4 linked regions of the Caenorhabditis elegans genome follow. The protein of the gene in region 3 interacts with the protein of the main gene of each other region in a pairwise test. Each region holds a gene or a part of one and is shown on either strand. Other genes may lie near its edges. The genes, in order: oaz-1, tald-1, zyg-8 and F30H5.3.

Evidence for each region.
Region 1: the proteins of zyg-8 (region 3) and oaz-1 interact in a two-hybrid assay, tested with the Caenorhabditis elegans proteins (one large-scale study listed by BioGRID).
Region 2: the proteins of zyg-8 (region 3) and tald-1 interact in a two-hybrid assay, tested with the Caenorhabditis elegans proteins (one large-scale study listed by BioGRID).
Region 4: the proteins of zyg-8 (region 3) and F30H5.3 interact in a two-hybrid assay, tested with the Caenorhabditis elegans proteins (one large-scale study listed by BioGRID).

Annotation. Positions count from the first base shown.
Region 1 is NC_003279.8:6,091,753-6,094,950, reverse strand, and holds oaz-1 (Ornithine decarboxylase antizyme), read right to left. Parts: upstream 1,645-3,198; 5' UTR 1,606-1,644; coding exon 1,535-1,605; intron 1,484-1,534; coding exon 1,426-1,483; coding exon of another isoform or gene 1,235-1,425; intron 1,121-1,234; coding exon of another isoform or gene 960-1,120; 3' UTR 514-959; downstream 1-513. UniProt on the Caenorhabditis elegans protein: Ornithine decarboxylase (ODC) antizyme protein that negatively regulates ODC activity and intracellular polyamine biosynthesis and uptake in response to increased intracellular polyamine levels.
Region 2 is NC_003282.8:4,384,716-4,389,391, reverse strand, and holds tald-1 (Transaldolase), read right to left. Parts: upstream 2,742-4,676; 5' UTR 2,735-2,741; coding exon 2,671-2,734; intron 1,960-2,670; coding exon 1,596-1,959; intron 1,211-1,595; coding exon 837-1,210; intron 785-836; coding exon 627-784; 3' UTR 512-626; downstream 1-511. Other genes in the region: rpl-7A (Large ribosomal subunit protein eL8), read left to right, coding at 48-216; F55F10.1 (Midasin), read right to left, coding at 3,141-3,272.
Region 3 is NC_003281.10:12,059,823-12,064,712, reverse strand, and holds the start of zyg-8 (Serine/threonine-protein kinase zyg-8), read right to left. Parts: upstream 3,001-4,890; 5' UTR 2,975-3,000; coding exon 2,788-2,974; intron 1,789-2,787; coding exon 882-1,788; intron 1-881. UniProt on the Caenorhabditis elegans protein: Probable kinase. Kinase activity may be involved in positioning of spindle poles in meiosis and mitosis. Plays a role in spindle positioning during asymmetric division of one-cell stage embryos.
Region 4 is NC_003281.10:506,177-514,082, reverse strand, and holds the start of F30H5.3 (BPTI/Kunitz inhibitor domain-containing protein), read left to right. Parts: upstream 1-1,865; 5' UTR 1,866-2,165; coding exon 2,166-2,199; intron 2,200-3,115; exon of another isoform or gene 3,116-3,207; intron 3,208-3,249; coding exon 3,250-3,391; intron 3,392-3,448; coding exon 3,449-3,527; intron 3,528-3,580; coding exon 3,581-3,697; intron 3,698-3,745; coding exon 3,746-4,023; intron 4,024-4,172; coding exon 4,173-5,124; intron 5,125-5,206; coding exon 5,207-5,282; intron 5,283-5,403; coding exon 5,404-7,906. Other genes in the region: T22F7.3 (BPTI/Kunitz inhibitor domain-containing protein), read left to right, coding at 159-208.

The sequences.
Region 1 (3,198 bases), on a different chromosome or scaffold from region 3:
GCCTTTTGAAGTTCTCGTCTCGAAACTCAAACAGAGAGTTTCACCAGGCTGATTTTTCTAAAACACAAAAAAATCGCTAACTTTTTTTTGTTTTGCGATATTTTATTTTACCATGCTGGTCTAGTGGTATTCCCAGACGCAAAAATTGTTTGTTATTAAATGTAAGAGTGTGCGCCTTTAAAGAGTACTGTATTATCAAACTCTCGTTTCTGCCTAATTTTCATTGATTATAGTTTTTCTCATGCTTCCAAGCTTTTTCTAAAAATAGTTTTTTTTTGTTGATAAATTGATAGTATAGCAAAACTATGGAAAAAATATGAAAATTCCGGAGCAACCTAAGCTTGCACGTACAGTACTCCTTAAAGGCGCACACTTTCAAATTTAAGAAAATTGATCATGTCGAGACCCGCTAGTGTATTTTTGCTTCGTACTTTTGTAAGATAGTCTCAAAATTTCGCATTTGCGTAATCGACCTAACGATACCCAATTCATGATGGGCGGAGCATTTTGAACATTTCTCTACAAAATCGTTTTTTTTTTGACAATTTATTCGTTTCTCCAAAAAAGCTGGCGCGTGGACAGAAAAGTGGTGGGAAAGGAGGGATTAATTTAAAGAATGTTTTAAAAAAAAGAGAATTTCTCAGGAAGCATCGGTCACTAATATCTCTTAGAAACAGGAATGAGCTGGTTGTGGATGGGAGTGGGTGTGGTGGGCAAAAATAATCAGAGAAATAGCCAAAAAGGATTTTTTCTGGAAAATTAAAGAATTTGTACACTACATGAACACAGAGATTTAGAGAATTATACTAGAGAATTCTTGAAGGAGGAAATTTTTTGAAAGTTTTTAAAGTGCATTTTTTCGAGGGGTTGGTATAGAAAAAGGTGAGAGAAAGAAAAATAACATTTTTAAAAGCGGCGAGAAATCGATAAAACGAAAAGAAATTGGTGAGATGAATCCATTAGACCTTGTAGCTCATGATGAAGTATTTTTCAGCTGGGAGATGAACTGGATGCTCGTCGATGGCATATGGACGGAATCCGACGTAACGAAGAGTACGTGGGAATCCTTCCGTTGGGTTAATACGAGCCTTCTCAAATACAGCCAAAACACGCTCCATTTCTGTAATAAAAAAGTTTACAAACATTTCTCAGGGAATATAACTTTTTAACAGGATTTCTCCGTTTAAAAACACAACTTTGTAGAAAATCTAGAAATGGTTGAAATAGAACTCACCGAGTTTGTCTTCAGCGAACTCCAAGAGGTCCACAAAGTTCTTCTTAGAGATGCCGAGCACCGGTTGATCGTGTGGAATCATGATCGCCAATGTCTTTTCGCCAATCGATGTCACGCGCCAGTTTGGAGAAACGGCCGATACGATAGCGCGAGTTTCGTTCGGCAATTTGGTGAGCACGCCATGGGGGGCGTCAAAAACACCATCCGACGTCGCCGGGCTGGGTCGAGCATGGGGAGGCGGTCAACGAGCTGAAAAATCGAAATATTATTGTTTAAACTGCCTTCACATTGTATTCTCACCTGTCGACGGCAGACTCGTTGACCAATTGATTCGATTTATTCGTAAAATTACTACTCAAAATACTCGACATCTTGTCTCTCTTGATAGGTACGAAGCGGGTGGTGGGAAACTGAAATTAAGAAGAATTAGATCGATTTAAAAGCAAAGTGAACGAGTGGGCGAGGGCGAGGAAGCATAACGGAAATACAAATTAATATAGTTGTGGTGATCAGAAATTATTCCAGAGAACTGATTCGTATCCCAGATGTTTAAAAATTGATTTTAACCAATCTCAACATTTACGGTGTCCTATAATCAAATATGCTAGAAATAAATTAGAATAATTCGATTAGTTTATGCCAAAGATTAAAGCATGTCAGAAGAGATTTTTGATTCGTTCAATTATTTGATTTACTTCGTGGCTTTTAAATAGAAATTAGAGGCTTTTGATTCTTAAAAGCGTAAAATGTTGTATTGATGTCAAAGAAGATCTATAGAACAGACATAGTAATGAACTGTCTTATATTTCTGTGTTATTAACCTCTAAAGTAAATTGTCACAAGACATACAGAACGAACATTGAGTGAACACAAAGAAGCATGTGACCAGGCGATAAATGAAGTGCGAGGCGGAGGAACAGAGGGACATAAAGATTGCGAGACGACAGAGAAACGCTCTTTCTGGCTCAATGGCTTGCTGGCGCCATTTTGAATGAATATATGTGACGTGCACATCGCAGATCTTTGAAAGTCATATGGTAATGACGAAATGGGTCGTTACAAAAGTGAAAGTAGGGATGATTATTTCTTATTGCACATTTCAAAATCAGATCCAAATAGAAATCGTAAACCCTGTGGGACTCGATTATCAGTTCTGCTCAATTGCCATGATACAAATAATTGGTATACTCACGCCATTAGGATACTTTTCCGAAAATACCTTTTTTCTAACGGAAATTTTTAATCAGAACTGGAGCTAACATAATATTACCAGACAAACAGCGCCTTGTGATATCGAAAGTAATTATTAATCAAAACATTTGCGCCTAAAAAAGGAGAGATCAATAGAATCAATGAGTGGATTTAGTAATGTAAAACTAGAAACTACTCTATATTAAAATCGATTTCGACAACAAAGAATAGAAAATCATATGACTTCACTACAGCTTATTGAGGCAAAATGAAGGTGAAACAGTGAAGATAGAGAAGAAGGAGAACAAGATCGATCGACGTGTAAACAGTGAATCGAATGATTTGGATGCCTTATCTATTGTGGACCGAGAATGTTCCCGGAAAGATAACAGTGTCATAAGACTTGCTCTTCGCCTATTTTATTGCGAAATAATTATTGATTTTCGATAGATGATTTGCAGACCTAATTTAGATTGTGATCAGATAAGAAAAACTTTTAAGTTTATGTGAGCATAGGAATATTAATGATTTGAGTAAGTTTTAAGAGAAACCAGAAACCAGAAATAAAAATTAAATTATTACGAAATCATTCAACAAATTACGACAGTATACCAACCAATTATCAAAGATTGAGTACGTAGTTCCTTTCTTTTCAAGTACTAATGATACAGAGAAAACCAGAAAAGGGAGTCGTTATCAAGGAGAACTATTGGCACGTTTCACTGCTTTTAAGCGCTGACGGAGAGAACAGAGAAGCAGCAATTTCTCTGAAT
Region 2 (4,676 bases), on a different chromosome or scaffold from region 3:
TCAGATTCTATAGTTTCTTGAGCAAATAATTATTTCTTTGTATTCAGAGAGGACAAATCTGCCTTGAACAAGCTCGTCGAGACCGTCAACAACAACTTCAGCGAGCGTCACGAGGAGATCCGCAAGCACTGGGGAGGAGGTGTCATGTCCGCCAAGTCTGATGCCAAGAAGCTCAAGATCGAGCGCGCTCGTGCCCGTGATCTTGGAAAGCTCTAAATTGTTTTTGTTGATAATAAAAACTTGTTATTCAAAGCTTGTATCTTTTTCAATAATTGGTAGTCTTCGTGGTACTCATTTGGATCGGTCTTGTTGGATATTGTTGAGAACAGTTTTCCCGAGAAGTGTCTCCCTAGTTCGTCGTTGTCTTGGAGCTTGCTGGTTGTCTGCGATATGGTTTCACTGAACAATTCTAGTTGGGTTCAATTCCGGGTGTCACAGCCACAACTGTCCAGAAACTTGCAGAGTGCGATAAGAGTTCGGCTATTTTGTGTATCTTGCCTTTACAGTGCTCTTTAAATTACATAAGGGTTCATTAAAATACGTAACGAAATATTTAAGGGGAAATCACAACACTGATGAAATTGGGGAAAACTAGTAAGCACGACAAATACATCAATCAATACAATTTAGATCTTTGCCTCGATAAGCTTCTCCAGAGTTCTGGCGTCTTTGGCAAAGTTGCGGATTCCTTCGGCGAGCTTCTCGGTGGCCATGGCGTCCTCGTTGAGAGCCCATCTGAACGCCTTCTCGTCAATGCTCACTTTCGGCAGGTCGAGTGTCTTGGCTGGAAAATAATTAAAAATTGCAATTTTTAATTGATTAAATCTCCCGCTCACCATGAGAAGTGGAGAGCACAACTGGAGCAAGTTCCGTCTCCGCAGCAAGTTGCTTCAGAAGAGCCGGAGAAATAGTAAGAAGATCACATCCAACAAGTCCCTTGATCTCTTCAGTATTACGGAACGAGGCAGCCATCACTTGTGTCTTATAGTCGTATTTCTTGTAATAATTAAAGATTCGAGTAACACTGACAACTCCTGGATCGTCTTTTCGAGTGTAGGCCTTCTGATCGGTATTCTTCACGAACCAATCCATGATTCTTCCGACGAATGGCGAGATTAGGGTGACTCCTGACTCGGCACACGCGACTGCTTGCTCAAAGTTGAAGAGCAGTGTCATGTTGCAGTGGATTCCGTGCTTAGATTCGAGGAATCTGAAAATTTAATTTTTTGCTGATTTTGAACTATTTCCGTTATAATTAATGCCTTAAACTCTTTTGAAAAATGTCAATTTGGGTCCAATTGAGTAGATTTTCAGTAGAAAACTAATAGAAACGAGACTTTGTATGTTTCGAAAAGGTATGTCCGTAGATTTTAGGTGATTTACAAGAAAAATCGAAGCATTTCTAGTTTTTAATTTAAAATGTGTTAATTTTTAACAATTTCATCTTGTATAATTCGTTTTTTAATTGATTTTTTCGAAACTAGTAGTGTTTTAAACCAAGCAAATCATCAAAAATGGGTAAAATTTCATCAAGTTTGATTTTTAAAAAAAAGTTTTTTAACTGAAAAGTTTTCCTAAAATCTCCAATGCCGTACTTAGCAGCCCGAATTCCTTCCCAAGTTGAAGCAAGTTTGATAAGAATCCGATCCTTCGAGATTCCTTCCTTCTCGTATTGAGCAATAAGTCCAAGAGCCCGATCAATCGATGCTTGAGTATCAAATGAAAGACGAGCATCAACTTCTGTGGAAACTCTTCCTGGAATAGTTTTCAGGATTTCTTTTCCAAAAACTACAAAAAGTCGATCCATAGCCGCTTGGAGCACTTCTTGATGTCCACTGGCGTGCTCTTTTGCGTAGGCAACTGATTGATCGATTAATGCTGCGTATTGCTCCATTTTTGAGGCGGCCAGGATGAGCGATGGGTTGGTAGTTGCATCTGTTGGCTGGAATTCCTTGATCGCTGAAAAAAATCGATTTTTTGAGAACAATTTTTGAAAAAAGTACTTTTTTCAACTGGAAAATTCGAGTTTTATTTTTCGATTTTTGACTTTTTACACAAAATCGAGGAAAAAAACAAAGGTGTGCGCCTTTAAGACTTACAGTAACCCATTTCCTGATTTTTTAAATTAATTTTTCACGCTTTTCATCTAAATTCTTGAGAGAAAACGTTGAAAAATGAAAAAAAAAACGAAATTGAAGGAACGTCTGGGTACTGTACTTTTGAAAGGCGCAAACACATTTTTTTCAAAATAAATATTTTTCACCAGTATTTACAAAAATTTAGAAAAAAGAGAATTCATCGAATTATCCAAAAAAAGTTTTTCACAGCTTTTTTTGGAATTTTTGAAAAATTCTAATTTTTAAATGGCACATTCCAGAAATTTACAATACTTCCATAAAATTTAATAGTATTTATTTTTAAAATGTTTTAACGAATTTTTTGGAAACTTCTTGAAAATATGTATTTTTTTCTCTAAAAAAATTAATTTAAAAAGTTCAAAAAGTCAGATTTCTATCTGAAAATCGAGAAATTTACTGTTTTTTACATTATAACAGTGGTCTTCCTAGAAAAATCGAATTTTCAGATAATTTAATTTTTTTTCAAAACTGCCAAAAAAAATCAATTATTCACCACATTTTCGAACTTTTTCTTAATGTTCAAAATTTTTACCATTAAAATCTCCAGTATCCGCAACAACGACTGATGCTCCTTTGAGTTGTTCCAAAACCGACATGATTTCCCTAGAAAAAGTCAAAAAAAAATCAATAATCGTGAAAATTACGGGAAAAATCGCGTGAGAGAGATCGAATGGAAAGTGCAGCCCATTGATAGCATCAAAGATAACAAAAACCGTATCAAAAAAATTTCAAATTTTTAATAGATATAATGATAATGATAATTCGACTAACCAATGTGAAAACAATGAACAATGAACAAAAAATAACAAAAAAGGGGGAAAATTTCAAAAAAAAAGTAACAACTCATAAAAAAATGACGATAAAAGGAGTAGGGAAGTGAGAAAAACAGTTTTCGAAAAAAAGTAACAAAAATGATGATAAAAAGGTATAAAGTAAAGTAGTAACAAAAAAACAAGAATATGACTAAATGTGTGTAGTTTGCAGTCTGTAGTTTGTAGCCTCTCAACTATGATGTGTCGTCGTCATTTCGAACCATTGACGAATCGATTCGGCAATCACCGATGGTAGTTGTTGAACTGATTTGACGAGAGCGTAGAATGGGAACGGGAACAGGGCGAGGTATGGCGTGAGTACCTGCAGGAAAAATTGGAAATTGTCAGCAGTTTTATGGGGGCAAATGGCAAGAGAATCGGGGGGTTTTCGAGAAAAAAAAGAAAGTAAATATTGTTCTTTGTAGTCAAATATGATCAAATTTCACACATTTTTTTGGGAATTTTAACACGAAAAAAAGGAAAAATCTTCAAAAATTGGAAAATTTATTGAGTTTTGAAATTTATTTGCGAAATTCCTTTCGAATATTTTGACCTAGTTTCAATTTTTTGTTTCATTTTTTAAATATTATTTTAAACACAATTTCTCACATTTTCAGACAGTTTTCCGCAAAAAATTATTTAAAAATGTGAAATTATCGATTTTTAGGTCAAAATTGAAGCGAAAATCGTCAAAATGCCAAAAAAGTCTACTGAAATTTAAATTTCAGACCTAAAAATATACAAATAATCGGCCATAGAAGACTGAAATAACGAAAAAAAAACTTTTGTAATTTTAAAAGCAAATTTTTGCTGAAAATCCTATAATTACCGTAACCTCGGCGTTTGTTCAATATCGAGAATGGAAAATTACCAGTTTTTAAAAAATTAAAATTAAAAAAAACGTTTTTTGTAGTCAAATATGATCAAATTTCACACATTTTTTGGGTATTTTAAATGAGCGGCAATTCTAGAAAATGGTCTGTTGCACCATGTTGTTCCAACATTTTTACAACTTGAAATTAGTTTAAAAATATGAAAAATCACTCGATTTATTTGAAAATAACATTAATTTCAGCTGAAGCCTTCGAGAAAATGCCCAGAAATGGCTTGAAAGTTGACTAATTTCGGCAATTGTCAACTTTCTGGCCTTTTTTGAGCAATTTCTCAAATTTTCAGTCGAATAAATGTCATTTTCAGATAAATCAACTAATTTTCTATACTTTGACACTAATTTTGGAGGAAAATGTTGAAAATGCATGGTGCTACGTCACCTCGAAAACAATTTTTTTTTCAGAGTGTAACTTCAAATAAAATGGAAAATGTATATTTTTTTAATTGGATTTTTCTTTAAAAAATACCCATAATAATCTAAAACTGGGATATTTTTGAAAAAAAACATATTTCCAGTCAAAAATAGCAGATTTCAACTGAAATCGTCTGATTTTGAAATTTTAAACATGCCAATTACAAGTTTTGGGTGAAAATGTTGATTTTTTAAACCAAAATTGGCAAATTTTCACTAAATTGCCCCGATTTCTAGCTAAAAAAATCCTGGAATGTTGAAAATGTGATTTTTTGAATGAAAATTTGCGAAATTCTATCTGAATCAATTTTTAGAAAATTTTCGGGTTAAAAAAATCGATTTTTCAATTTTATTCGATTTATTAGTTTTTTAAAAATTAAATCGTTCAAAATAACATCTGAAAAATTTTTTTCCTAAACGATT
Region 3 (4,890 bases):
CGGGGAGTTCTCTTTTTGGAGGGAATATAACCGAATTTTCACCAACCAATCAGCGCCTTCGAACTCCGCCCACTCCATCTGATTGGTTGGAAAGTGGGCGGAGCTAATCGCTGATTGGTCGCAGTGTAAATTGGGTTTTTGTGTTTTTTTTGGGAAAAAATTCGAAAAAAAAACAAAAAACACCGATTTTTTCCAATTTTAGACAAATTCCCACTGCGACCAATCAGCGATTTGCTCCGCCCATTTTTCAACCAATCAGATGAAGTGGGGGGGGGGGGGGGGGGGGGGTTTCGAAGGCGCTGATTGGTCGGGTAAAGTTTCATTTTGGAGGGAATTCAAAATTGATTGTTTTTTTCGCTTTTTTCCTATTTTCGTAATGAAAAAAAATTTTTTTTTTGTAAGTTGCGACGGTTCAACATTTTTAAGAAAAAAGACAAAAAATTCAAAAAAAATCTGCGACCAATCAGCGATTAGCTCCGCCCACTTTTGAACCAATCTGAAGAAGTGGGCGGGAGTTCTCGTTTAGGCATCTTCAAACTCCGCCCACCTCACCTGATTGGGCGAAAAATGGGCGGAGCGAATTGCTGATTGGTCGCAGAAAAATTCGAATTTTTCGTTCTTTCGCATATTTTTTTTTTGAATTTTTTGTCTTTTTCATTCAAAATTTTGAATCGCCGCCACTTTTTTTGGTTGAAAAATAATTTTTTTTTCCTTAGGAAAATAGGAAAAACGCGAAAAAAACAATCATTTTTGAATTCCCTTCAAAATGAGACTTCACCCGACCAATCAACACCTTCGAACTCCACCCACGTCGCCTGATTGGTTGGAAAGTGGGCGGCGGAGCGAATCGCTGATTGGTCGGGGCGATTTTTTGCTCTCACCTCGCCGTCTTCTTGTTCAACAAATGCCTACTAATCCGCCTTGGCTTCACCCCATTCCGAATAACCTTGATAATTCGTGGAAACACGAAATCCGTATTCTCATGACACGGCTCTACGACACTCAACGCCAGCTTCTTCGTCTCCAAGTGTCGATTGTATCGATTGGCAAGTGTCAGACGCCAACTTGGCTCGGCGGCTCTCGAATAATCGACCGGTTTGAAAGCGTCGGTACTCGAACACACATAACCACCGCCGTCTTCGAATTGATCTACGGAAGTGATGCGTTGAGCGCCGTCGATCGTGAAAATGTGACGGATTCCGTGTGGAAGAGCCGTCGAGTCACAGATTACAGTTTTCATCAAATCTTCCATAAGTGGTTGCATACTCTTCACCCGGTCACTTTGTAAAGCATACTGAATCCCTTTGAAATATTGATCCCCATTTCTATAGAACCGGAGTCGCTTGGCTTTCAGTAAATGCGGATACCCGGATGGCCCGATTCGACACCTCCGCTGCATTTCTGAGACCATATCCCTGGACTCTGCGAGCTCATCTCCATTCGTTCCCTCGGTTTCCATGGCACATACGGATGACGTCATTGACGCTTCCGCAGTGTTCGTGCCACTATTCGGCATGCTTCCCTGGGAAATTGCCGTTGGGAAGACGCTTGTCTGATTGAGATTAAGAGTCGATGCTCGTGGAGTTGTCAGTGTTTCTTCACTGATCACTGCGGTCTGATTGTGATGAATATGATGGTGGAAGTGTTGTTGAGGAAGATGCGAGAATCGACGATGTGCGGAGGATGTTGATGGAGCAGATGATGATGGACTGATCTTTCTATGAACAACTGGAGATGATGATGATGTCAAGACTGCGGAGAGAGGACGTGTCGAATGAGGGAGATGGGCTGGAAATTAGGATTATATTACACGGGAACACAAAAAAATATTTAACGCGCAAAATATCTCGTAGCGAAAAGAAAACTACAGTAATTCTTTATATGACTACTGTAGTGTAGATTTACAGGATCTCGATTCTTTAGATTCAATTATTTTCGAATAGTGATAACGATCAAGGGTGTCGGTTTTTTCGATTTTTGAAAATCGAAAAATCGATATTTCGAAATTTTTTCGATTTTTTAAAAATTCGCTTAAACTTTGATCATTGTTCTTATTTTTAGATGTTCTTTATCATGAATATATAAACAAAATTAGATTTTTAAAAAATCATATCTTATGGGTAATTTTCTGAATTTCGGAAAATAGAAAAATCGAAAATTTTAGGGGCCGCTTTTTCCGGCAAATCGGCCAATTTGCGGAAAATTTAAAATCCGGCAACTTTCCGATTTGCCGGAAAATTTAGGGGCCATTTTTTTCCGGCAAATCCGGCAATTTGTCGATTTGCCGGAAAAATCGTTTTCAACAGTCTGACGGTATTAATCATTTTTTAATAGCTTTTTACAAATAAAAATGTCTCTTTTTTCAAGTTTTCAACTCAGTACTATTGAAATTAAACAATCTATCCGTGAATTTTGCAAAAAAGCAGCATCGCACCGAAAAAGAGGCGGAGTGTAATTTCGTAATTTCGCAACCTTGCGGCACGGTTTTTTCTCTATTTTTTATTTGTCTTTTTTCGAATGAAAGTATTACCCAATTTACTTATTATTAGATTGTGAGGATATTTCATGGTTGTAAAAAAAATGAAATTAATCGAAAAAAAAAATTCAGAAAAAAAGGAGAAAAAACCGTGCCGCAGGGTTGCAAAATTACGCTCCGCCTCTTTTTCTGTGCGACGCTGCTTTTTTGTTGCAAAATTCACGGATTCATCATTAAAAAAAACCATATCCCGTAAGCTGAAGCAAGCAAGCCACCAACGGGGAAATTCAAGCCAAACACTCAATTCTTACGTCGTTTGAATCGTGGAATATTCGACGTTTTTCCAGCAGCGGAAACCCTCTTCGATACACGTGGCAATGTGTTGGCTCCATTCATAGATGCTCCATCCGATCCTCCAGCTTCAGATCCAGGTGGTGGTGGTGGTGGTGGTGGTCTAGCAGTTGTGTCGTTGAGCTGCCACGCCGACGTTTGTGGCATCGTTCGAGTAGAGATAGTCTAACACCGAAAAAAAACACCAAATTAGCGATAGTTAGGCGCAACCACGAGAGGAGGACGGAGCGGTGTCAGGCCGTCCCATTACGGTTTGATCTACCAAAAATGCGGGAGATGAGACGCAGATTTCTCAGCTGATTTAGCATCGAATGAGAGTGTACTGACGTCACATTTTCCTGGGGGAAAGTTCCCGCATTTTTTGTAGATCAAACCGCAATGAGACTGCCTGACACCACGTGGGGATATACCACGTGGCAACAGGCCGTCCCATTACGGTTTGATCTACCAAAAATGCGGGAATTTTTGGCCCAAAAAATGTGACGTCAGCACGTTCTTAACCATGCGAAATCAATTGAGAAATTTGTGTCTTTTCTCCCGCATTTTTTGTAGATCAAACCGGAATGGGCCTTGGATATGAAAAAGAGAAAGGAATGCAAAATCAAAAGATTGGACAGAAAATGAACTAAAAATCGAGGAGGACAATTCCAATCGGGTATGGTGCAAGTGCTATAGACGGGAATTAATCTTTTTTTTTGTTATTTTAGAAAAACAATTTTTTTTTCTGAAAAAAAAGTGGAAAATTCAAATTTTTTTGAGATTTTCTGAGCAAAATTAAAGTTTTCTGGGAAAAAAAATTTTTGTCGGGGATTCAAATTTTCCGAAAAAAAATTTGGCGGGAAATTTAAAAATTTTAGAATTTTTTGGCGGGAATTCAAATTTTCGGAGAAAATATCTATTTTGGCGGGAGATTCAAATTTTCTGTGAAACAACTATTTCGTCGGAAAATTCAATTTTTTTTCGAGAAAAAAAACCTATTTAGGCGGGAAATTCAAAATTTTTTTAATTTTTTTTTGGCGGGAAATTCAAATTTTCGGAAAATATCTATTTTGGCGGGAAATTCAAATTTTCCGAAAAAAAAATTTGGCGGGAAATTTTTTTTTATTTTTTCGAATTTGTTTTGGCGAGGATTCAAATTTTCTCTTAAAATAATTTTGGCGGGAAATTCAAATTTTCTGAGAAATTTTTTTTTTCGATTTTTTAAAGATTTTTGAAGCAAAATTTCCATCAGGCTGTCCCATAACGGATTGATCTACAAAAAATGCGGGAATTTTTCGCCCAAAGAAATGTGACGTCAGCACGTTCTTAACCATGCGAAATCAGTTGAGAACTCTGCCGCATTTTTTGTAGATCTAGGTAGATCAAACCGAAATGAGACGCCACGTGACACCAAAAAAAAGGAGATAATTTTACTATGCTATGACTAGCTGACAATTCGAATCATTGTCCAAAATGAGCTGTCCGCGAGCATTGGTCTCCAAAATGCATGGAATGTCGAATGTGGGAATTAACTAGGCGTGCACACAGAGAGCAGTGAGCAGTGAGCTGCTTCTCGTTTTCCTCTCATTCGAAAGAGCTAAAGGGCAGACGGGTGTTGTTGTGGGTTGATTTGGCTGACGGGAGGGGCGCGCGCGAGCCAACGCAGAGCCGGGGGACGGAATAGACGAGGGATTAGTTAGGGGGTATCCGGAGGGACCACAGAGCCAATTAAACAGCTTCTCATTTGTGCAGCGCCACCTGCGTCTCCGCCGAAAAAGGTGCGGTTTGTGATAAGAATATTACACGGATTTCTGGCTTCCCTCCATAAATTGAAATGGAAGAGTTTTTTGCCGAACTAGGCCAGGCCAAATCTGGGGTAGATTTACGTTGCGTTGCGTGTCGCGTCGCGGCTCGATTGTAAAACTAAATGTATTTGTCCGTGTGGAGTACACGACTTTCCCACGCGTTGTCCGGCAGGCGATTGTCAATGGAGCGCGAAAAATTCAATGAGGAAGGCCAGAAGCCCGTGATACTGAAGGTGAGGTAGTGTGAATGGGGATTTTACTTCAAAAAATAGTCTAAAA
Region 4 (7,906 bases), about 12 Mb from region 3:
TGGAGAAAGTTCGGAATTACTGCAAAAGTTCAGAAATAACAAAAATTAGCATTTTTAGTCAAATCTTGACTTAAAAAATAATTTTTTCACAACGGGGTTTCTGAAGATTAACAATCGACAACGATTTTTCTCCAAATCCCCAACTTTTCTTATTTCAGAACCACAATGCCCATGGTATGCTCCGTGCGCTGCTCAACGAAGGCGATAGATTCTGTTACTCTTTCCCCAGTTGTCTTTTTTAATTCTCCCGAGGTATACACCTTGTCTCGTTACGGTTATTTTTCTTTTTCTTCTTTCCCCCGTCTCTTTGTTGCTCCGGAGATGTTCTATAACAAAAATTCTAAATAAAGAAACTCTCAATTTAATCCACTGCAATTCCAATTCAACTCCCCCCGCCTTCCTAAAAACAGTCGTTAGCCACCCAAAACAAACAGTCGGAACAAAAAAAGCGGCGCACCGGTGCTGCGCGTGTTTTTCATCAGGTCATGATTTGCTCGCGGAGAGAGGTGAGACCGGCGAAAAAGTTCACTCTTTTTGGAGTTCCGCGCCGCGCGTGATCTTATCATTGTGAGCGCGCGCGAGAGCCCCGATTAGAAGAGAAGCGGTGTTGGTTTGTACAATATTTGAACCAGCGCCGCCGCCACCAACATTAAACATACAGTAAAACATACATATGTTTGGTGCGAAGATCAGTTTCTCTTGACGTACACTTTATAATGAGATAGGATGGATGCCCGCGCGGATCAGAGGAAACTGGGCCAAGTATGCTACACAAAAATACACTAAACCTCGGGTGTTAAGGATGTCAGAAAGTGTTTCTGTGCAGTAGCGGGCTGAAATCACAGGATCATCCTGCTGGATACTCAAGAAGACGGTTACTTTCAAAATTTTTGCGAATTGCAAAAAACCATTTTCGAAGCGGTGATTTTTCACGAAAATCAGTTTCGCAAATCCTAAGGTATTCGTGGAAATTTTTTGTAGAAATTAAAAAAAAAGAAACTTATGATGTCAGCTCATAATTCAAGTTCGGAATCAGCTCATAATTCAAGTTTCACGAAAACCAAAAAGCTCAGTGATCTTTTTCGAGAATCTTACCCCTTAAAATTTTTACCGATTTTTCTGAATTTCAAACGTACTTAGTCTTGCGCTGTTCCACTCCACTTTGACTTTTCATACCTTTGGTAATCTTCACGCTACGTGGCAACAGTATGAAAAACAGAGACTTCTCATGAAGACGAAGAAATTGTGAAATGAATGAAAATTTAAACTAGTGTTCAATATGGCCCATGGTACTAATGAGTAAGGCTACACGTCATATCCAAAAAAATATCGTGAACTGATAAGTTATCAAACTATAGAAGACGATATAACGAATATCTTGGCAGTTGACAATTCTTGAGAAATCCAATGACAACATAGATGTAGGTTGTCAACATTGGAAATATCTAGCATTTTTTATAGAGCTAGTACAAGTTTAGTTGAACACAGATTTTTCATATATTATGCATACATATCGCACATGTTTCTGGGGACTTTTACTAATTTATCTTATCAGATGTGTTTTTTAACCCGCTATTCAAAGAAAATTAGAGAATGCGAGTATGACTACTGAGAGTGTGAAAACCGAAGCTCAATGATATCATACAAAATTCCGAAATGCCGATCATAAGCCCCTATCATGCTCCGTATACAATGTACCAGGCTCAATTACGATGTTGCTCTCTCTCCCCTCCCCACCGCTCTCAACATGTAAATCGCATTACACGAGTGACCCGAACTGTATTCTCGAACGAGAATCTTGCGAAACCGCGGGTAAACAACACCAAGAGAAACCCCTCCTCTCTTGGCTCTGCGAGCACACAAATATAGTGACCCCTCCCTCGCTCCCTCCCCTGACCTTGACCAGCAGACTCAGCTCAACACAAAAGCCATTCGATTGCAACTCGTCTTGGATTCGAACCACCCCGCACCATCATCATCAGAAGGCAATCAAAGAATTATCTGATTATTTTCGTATGATTTTCAATCAATAACAAAAGAGCCATTTCATATATCCAGGTCTCTATCACATTTCCAAATTGCCCTTCTTTATTGTATTCAATTACTCATTTTGAACACTCATTATATAATAATCACAAACATCAATCAATTGATATTCCGCAGCAATGCGTAACTGGTTTATTTTACTCCTGCTTGCAGGTAAGCTTTTTCTTTTTTGCCGGATTTTTTTATGGTTGCTTTGAAAACTTTTGAATCAAATTCTTTAACATAAGCAATACTTTAATTCAAATTTTTAGAGTTTGAATTCTGCTACTTGACACTTGGACTTTTTCTTGCTAGCAATATGAACTTGAAAGTTTTCTTCAAATTTTGATTCAATTTACGAGGGTTAGCACAATACTTAAACTCAGAAATATCAGCATAAAGTTCTTGAAACTATTTTAACATATATATTTTTATAAAAATATAATTTTTGCAAACTTAGTTGTCGGAGAAGAACTTATAAAACTAAGAATGTGTTCCTACAAGTCTAGCCTAAAGAGCTCTAACCCTAAAAATGAGTAGTTTCACCACTGTAGGTTTTTGACCCTTATTTATTATACAAAAAGTATGCTGTGAGTCGGTAGTTTTTATGGAATTTTTTTGAAAATTTGACTTTTACCTCAAAACCCCACTCAAAAACAGCAAGCCATCTCTTTTTTACTCTTGAAAACTTAAAACGTCAAAATTTCTATCACTACCTAAAAATCAAAGCACGATTCTATTCTCAGAATTGTTCAAAATAAATCTAGTCTTTAAATATTCGTTCTAGCCCAAGATTTTGCATTAAACTGGCCTATGCCTTTACGAAATCAGCACTAACATGAATTTTAAAGCTTCCTGGGGGTCTTAGGTGCTTCACAACTGCCAGACCCAGACCATCAAAACACCCATCAGGTCACAAGTCCAATTAAATTCTATTTTTAGAGCACCAGACTAGAGAGTTCAACTTGCATAATACCTTTTTCGTGTTTCTAGTGCTCTCTCTCTCTATCGCCGCGCCGCGTTCCAAAACAAATCCAAGCACATACAATAAAATTGGCAAACATTGTGTGGGGGGTTCTCAGTGTCTGAGATTCGATTCGCCGCAAATATGGCGGCGGCGGCGTGACTGTTGCCCGATTTGGGTTAAAGCGGCCGCGAGCGCAGACGATCGTGCCTTGAGGATTGGGAGCAGGTGGTGACGAATAGTAAAACTTTTTGTTTCAGGAGGCACATATGCAGTCGAGCAGAAGCCGATTTGCAGGATAGGCGATGGTTGTGACACGTCCGGATGTCGGATACCGACTGAAGGTGATAAGTGTGATGAGGAGATGACTATTGATTCCATCTATTGCGATCTTGCCACAAAGTAAGACCACTTTTGAATAAGGAAGCTGTTACTAAACACGACTTTTTCTAATTTCAGCAAGACCGACACTCACGAGAACGCGTTCCTTATCTGCAATCTTGTCAAGAAGGAAATCGAACGAAAGATTTGTCCGAAAGTATAAAATCTATTCCAGTTGTTGAATAATCTTAACAAATTCTCAATTTTTAGAGCCAATTCTTCATTGACGGAAAGTGCCGAACTGGCAATGTTCGGTACAAGCGGCAAGGAGTTGCCGGATCCGGAAGAGTTGGAGATTTTTGCAGCTTCAACACCGATTGCTTGACTGTAAGTGGATTTTGAACTTCTTCGAGATTCTAAAATTCAAATTTCCAGGGAATGTTCTGCTCCACAGGATCTTGCACATGCCTCTCGAACTTCGTCGCCATCCAAGGATACTGCTACCTGAAGAAGAATCCAGGAGAGTCTGGATGTCAGTACGCCGAGCAGTGCTCCGCAGTATGGCCAGAGTCGCGGTGCGAAAAGTCGAGATGCGAGTGCCCGGAGGATGTGAATGGAATTCCATATGTTCAGGCCAAGACCAGGGACGGAGTCGTTTGTGTTCTTCATTCCGGAGAAGACGGAGATCCGGTGCCAAAGTGCCCACTTCCAGAGTGAGTTTTTATTCAGTGGGAGCTATTTTGTGACTTCAAGCTTCAGCCTAAACCTAAGCCTGAACCAAAGCCAAGCCTCATAGTCAGTCTGATACTGAGTCACAACCTAACTAGCTACCTTCTTATCGTTAATTTCCAACTTCTTCTAGATACGACGATGATCTCCTCACAATGCCAGTGTCCCAACTTCGCAACCCTCACATGACCGATCCAGACGATGCTGACATTCAAATGGGCGAGCACATCAACCCACTTCAATTCTGCTCCTCTCAATCCACCGACTATACCACCTTCATCGCCAACGGAGGAGGTGCGTGTGCTTACGCGACCGATGCTAACAACGCTCAGGAAGGAGATGGTATCTATATCGCTGATATCTATGATTGTGTCACCTCCACGACATCAATGGCCAACGTTAAGACTGCAATGGAAGGAGTTTATGACATTCATCCAGCCTCCGATGGTATCTGCTGTCCTAACAGAGCCTTCACCTGCATCCAACCAAAGAGAGAAGCTGATAGTGGAAGTTCGGCGCCAGCAGGAGTCCGTCCAAGATGGTGGTACAACGCTGTCACTGGCACCTGCGAACAATTCATGTGGGACCCATGGGATGAGACCGAGATGCAATCACCAAACAACTTCAAGACTCGTGAGCACTGTGAATCCTATTGTAGAGACACTTGTAAGCGTGGATCCCCACAATACCTCACCGGATCCGCTCAGAATGAGGATGAAGTCGTCAGCAACTGCCAGACGGCCTCTTCCTGCACATCTAACTTCGAGTGCACTTCCATTGGATCCATGCAGCTCTGCTGCCCAACTGTCGCCAGCGTCTGCTCCAACACCGGAGGCCGTCCAGTCGACTTGGTCCGATCCACCAACTTTGACGCCGGTATGTTGATGAAGCGCAGCTTCTCCATGACCTTCTCCACGAGCTCGCGATACTATTACGACGCGGAGCAGGGAAGATGCATCGCGTTCACCTACAACGGAGCACTCGGAAACTACAACAATTTCAAGTCGTCAGCTGATTGCGAGTTGTTCTGCGCCAAATTGCAATGCAAATACGGAACTCCACTCAAGATTGGGTCATCTAATCAGGTATGTGCAGTGTAAATAACACCGGGGGTACCGGAGGTTTCGCGAGTTCGAATTCGTATTTCGAGAAAAATGAAATTTTCAGAGATGCTCCGCCAGTGCCGACTGTCCAAGTACCCACGAGTGCCAGTCAGATCACAATGTCTGCTGTCCAAGACCTCGTAAGTTTTAGAGTTTTAAATTTTTTACTCAGTTTACTCAGTCCTAGGCTAAGATTGCAATACGACCTAGACCTATCATCAGTTCCTCAGCCCACTAAAAACCTCAAAACATTAATTCCAGAAGCCATCTGCTCCCAACCCCTCCGCCTCGGAGACTGCAAGCAATCCGTCCGCCGTTACTGGTACAACGCAGTTACCCGTGCCTGTGAGATCTTCGACTACACCGGCTGCCAAGGAAACGATAACAACTTCGAGACCCTGTTGGAGTGCCAGAACACTTGCGAGAACATTATTCCAGAGCCACAGTGCCCACAAGGAGACGCCTACAAGGATTACCAAGGAAACTACTACGTCTGCTCCAACTCTGGAGCTGGAAACTCTTGCCCAGTCAACTATGAATGCTATTTCGACGGATACGTGTGGGGATGCTGCCCGACCAAGGCCTACACCTGTACCCTTTCCCCACATAAGGGAGTCACCTGCGGATCTGGATCTTCTTACAGATACTATTACAACTCTCAGACCCAAGAATGTGAATCCTACCAGTACAATGGATGTGACGGAAACTCCAACAACTTTGCTACGCGCGAGGATTGTGAAGGATACTGTGGAGTCGGAGGATGTCCAAATGGTGGAACTCCAGAACGCAACGAGTTCGGTCAGCTTATGGTCTGCTCGACCACCCAGGTGTGCCCAGGAACCCACGAGTGTACGTCTGTAAACTCTGGAAGCTCAGTTGTCAACCGTTGTTGCCCAACTCGTGCCTACATCTGCTCTCTTCCACCACAACAAGGATCCTCCTGCAGCTCATCCGCCGCTGCTCGATTCTACTTCAATATTGTCACCAAGGAGTGCACCCAGTTCACCTACAACGGATGCTCCGGAAATCTCAACAATTTCGCCACCCTCGAGCAATGTAACAACTTCTGCCTTTCAGCTGCCTGTACCCCTGGAGATGTAGCCTACGTGAACCCCAACACAAATATGCCATATGAGTGCAATGCAGCTCTATCCAACAGTTGCCCAACCAACTTCGCTTGTACCTACGATCAGCTGTCCTCCAACTCTGTTTGCTGTGGAGCCACCAACATGGATGTCTGCCCAGAAGGCGAGAAGGCTTACGTCAACGCTGCCGATATGGGAGTCCGCGAGTGTCTGATCAATGTGGAGGGATCCTGCCCGAGCAACTATCTCTGCAGATTCAACGCCATGAAGAACAGATACTACTGCTGTGCCTCGATCACAGGAGATCTCTGCCCATCTGGAAAGGCTCTTTACAAGGAACCAAGCTCCAAGGCCCCGATTCGTTGTACCATCAGCAGCAACAACAACCAATGCCCAACCGGGTACACCTGTCAGTCCGATGTTCCAGGCGCTTTCCAAGGATACTGCTGCTCTGGAAACCATCTCTGTCCAAACAAGGCCGAGTTCTACTTGGAAGAATCCTCCCAGATGCCAAGATCCTGCACAGTTGGAGCATTCATCACTTGTCCAAATGGTTACTCCTGTCAATCCACCCAAAACGAGTTCACCACCGGATTCTGTTGTAAGGGAGAGGTCGCTTCTGTCTCTGATGGTTGCCCACCTAATGAGTATGTGTTCATGAAGGACAACCAGATTGCCCCATGTGATCCATTTAACCCACCGAATGCTCCATGTCCAAATGGATACTCCTGCCAATGGTCGTTGGCTAACCAGAGATACCAATGCTGTGGAGCCACACCAATCACCACACCAAAGTCGATCGCTGCTCTCGGATGCCCGAACAACCAGGTCGCATTCCGCGAGAAGGCATCAAATGCTCCAAGAATCTGCACAGCCGCCTCTCAGAACTGCCCAACAGGGTTCTTCTGCCAATTCTCCACCGCTAACAATCAATTCCAATGCTGTGGAATGTCGGGAGGATGTCCAAATGATTCAGTTGCCTTCATCGGAATCACCGGAGAACCACAATCTTGCGCAATTGGTCAGAGCACTTGCCCATCCGGATATTCTTGCCAGAGAGCCATCTCAGGAGCACAACTCTGTTGTACCACAAACGACGAGCCAGTCGGACCAACAACTCCTACCAAGGGCTGCACCGAAAAACAAGTTGAGGTTGAGGGAGCCTGTCTCGATAAGAAATCTCTCGGAGACATCTGCAGTAACCAAGTTCAGTGCCCAACTGGAAGTCTCTGCAAGGAATCTGTGTGCTCTTGTCCAGAAGGACATCACGAACTCAACGGAGTTTGTCTCCCAGACTGTGGACCAAACGAAGTCGAGGTCGCCGGAAAGTGTGTTGCTAAATCCCTTATCGGAGAGGCTTGCGAAGCTGATGAACAGTGCCAAGGTGGATCTTCATGCCTTGACGCTACCTGCACCTGCCCAGAAGGCGAAGAGGCTGTCGAGGATGTTTGCATGAAGAAGATGTCGCGACCAATGTCGACTTGCCCAATTCCAGGACAGATTCCATTCCTCGAGTTGAGAACTAAAGCCGCCAGATTCTGTACTCCATCCCGTCCAAATTGTCCACGTGGATTCAGCTGTCAATTCTCTCAAACCGCTCAACAGAACATCTGCTGTGGAGGTGGGAAGGCGTCAGCAATCGTCGCCGAGAAGAAATCCGGAAAGCCAAGCACTTTCAG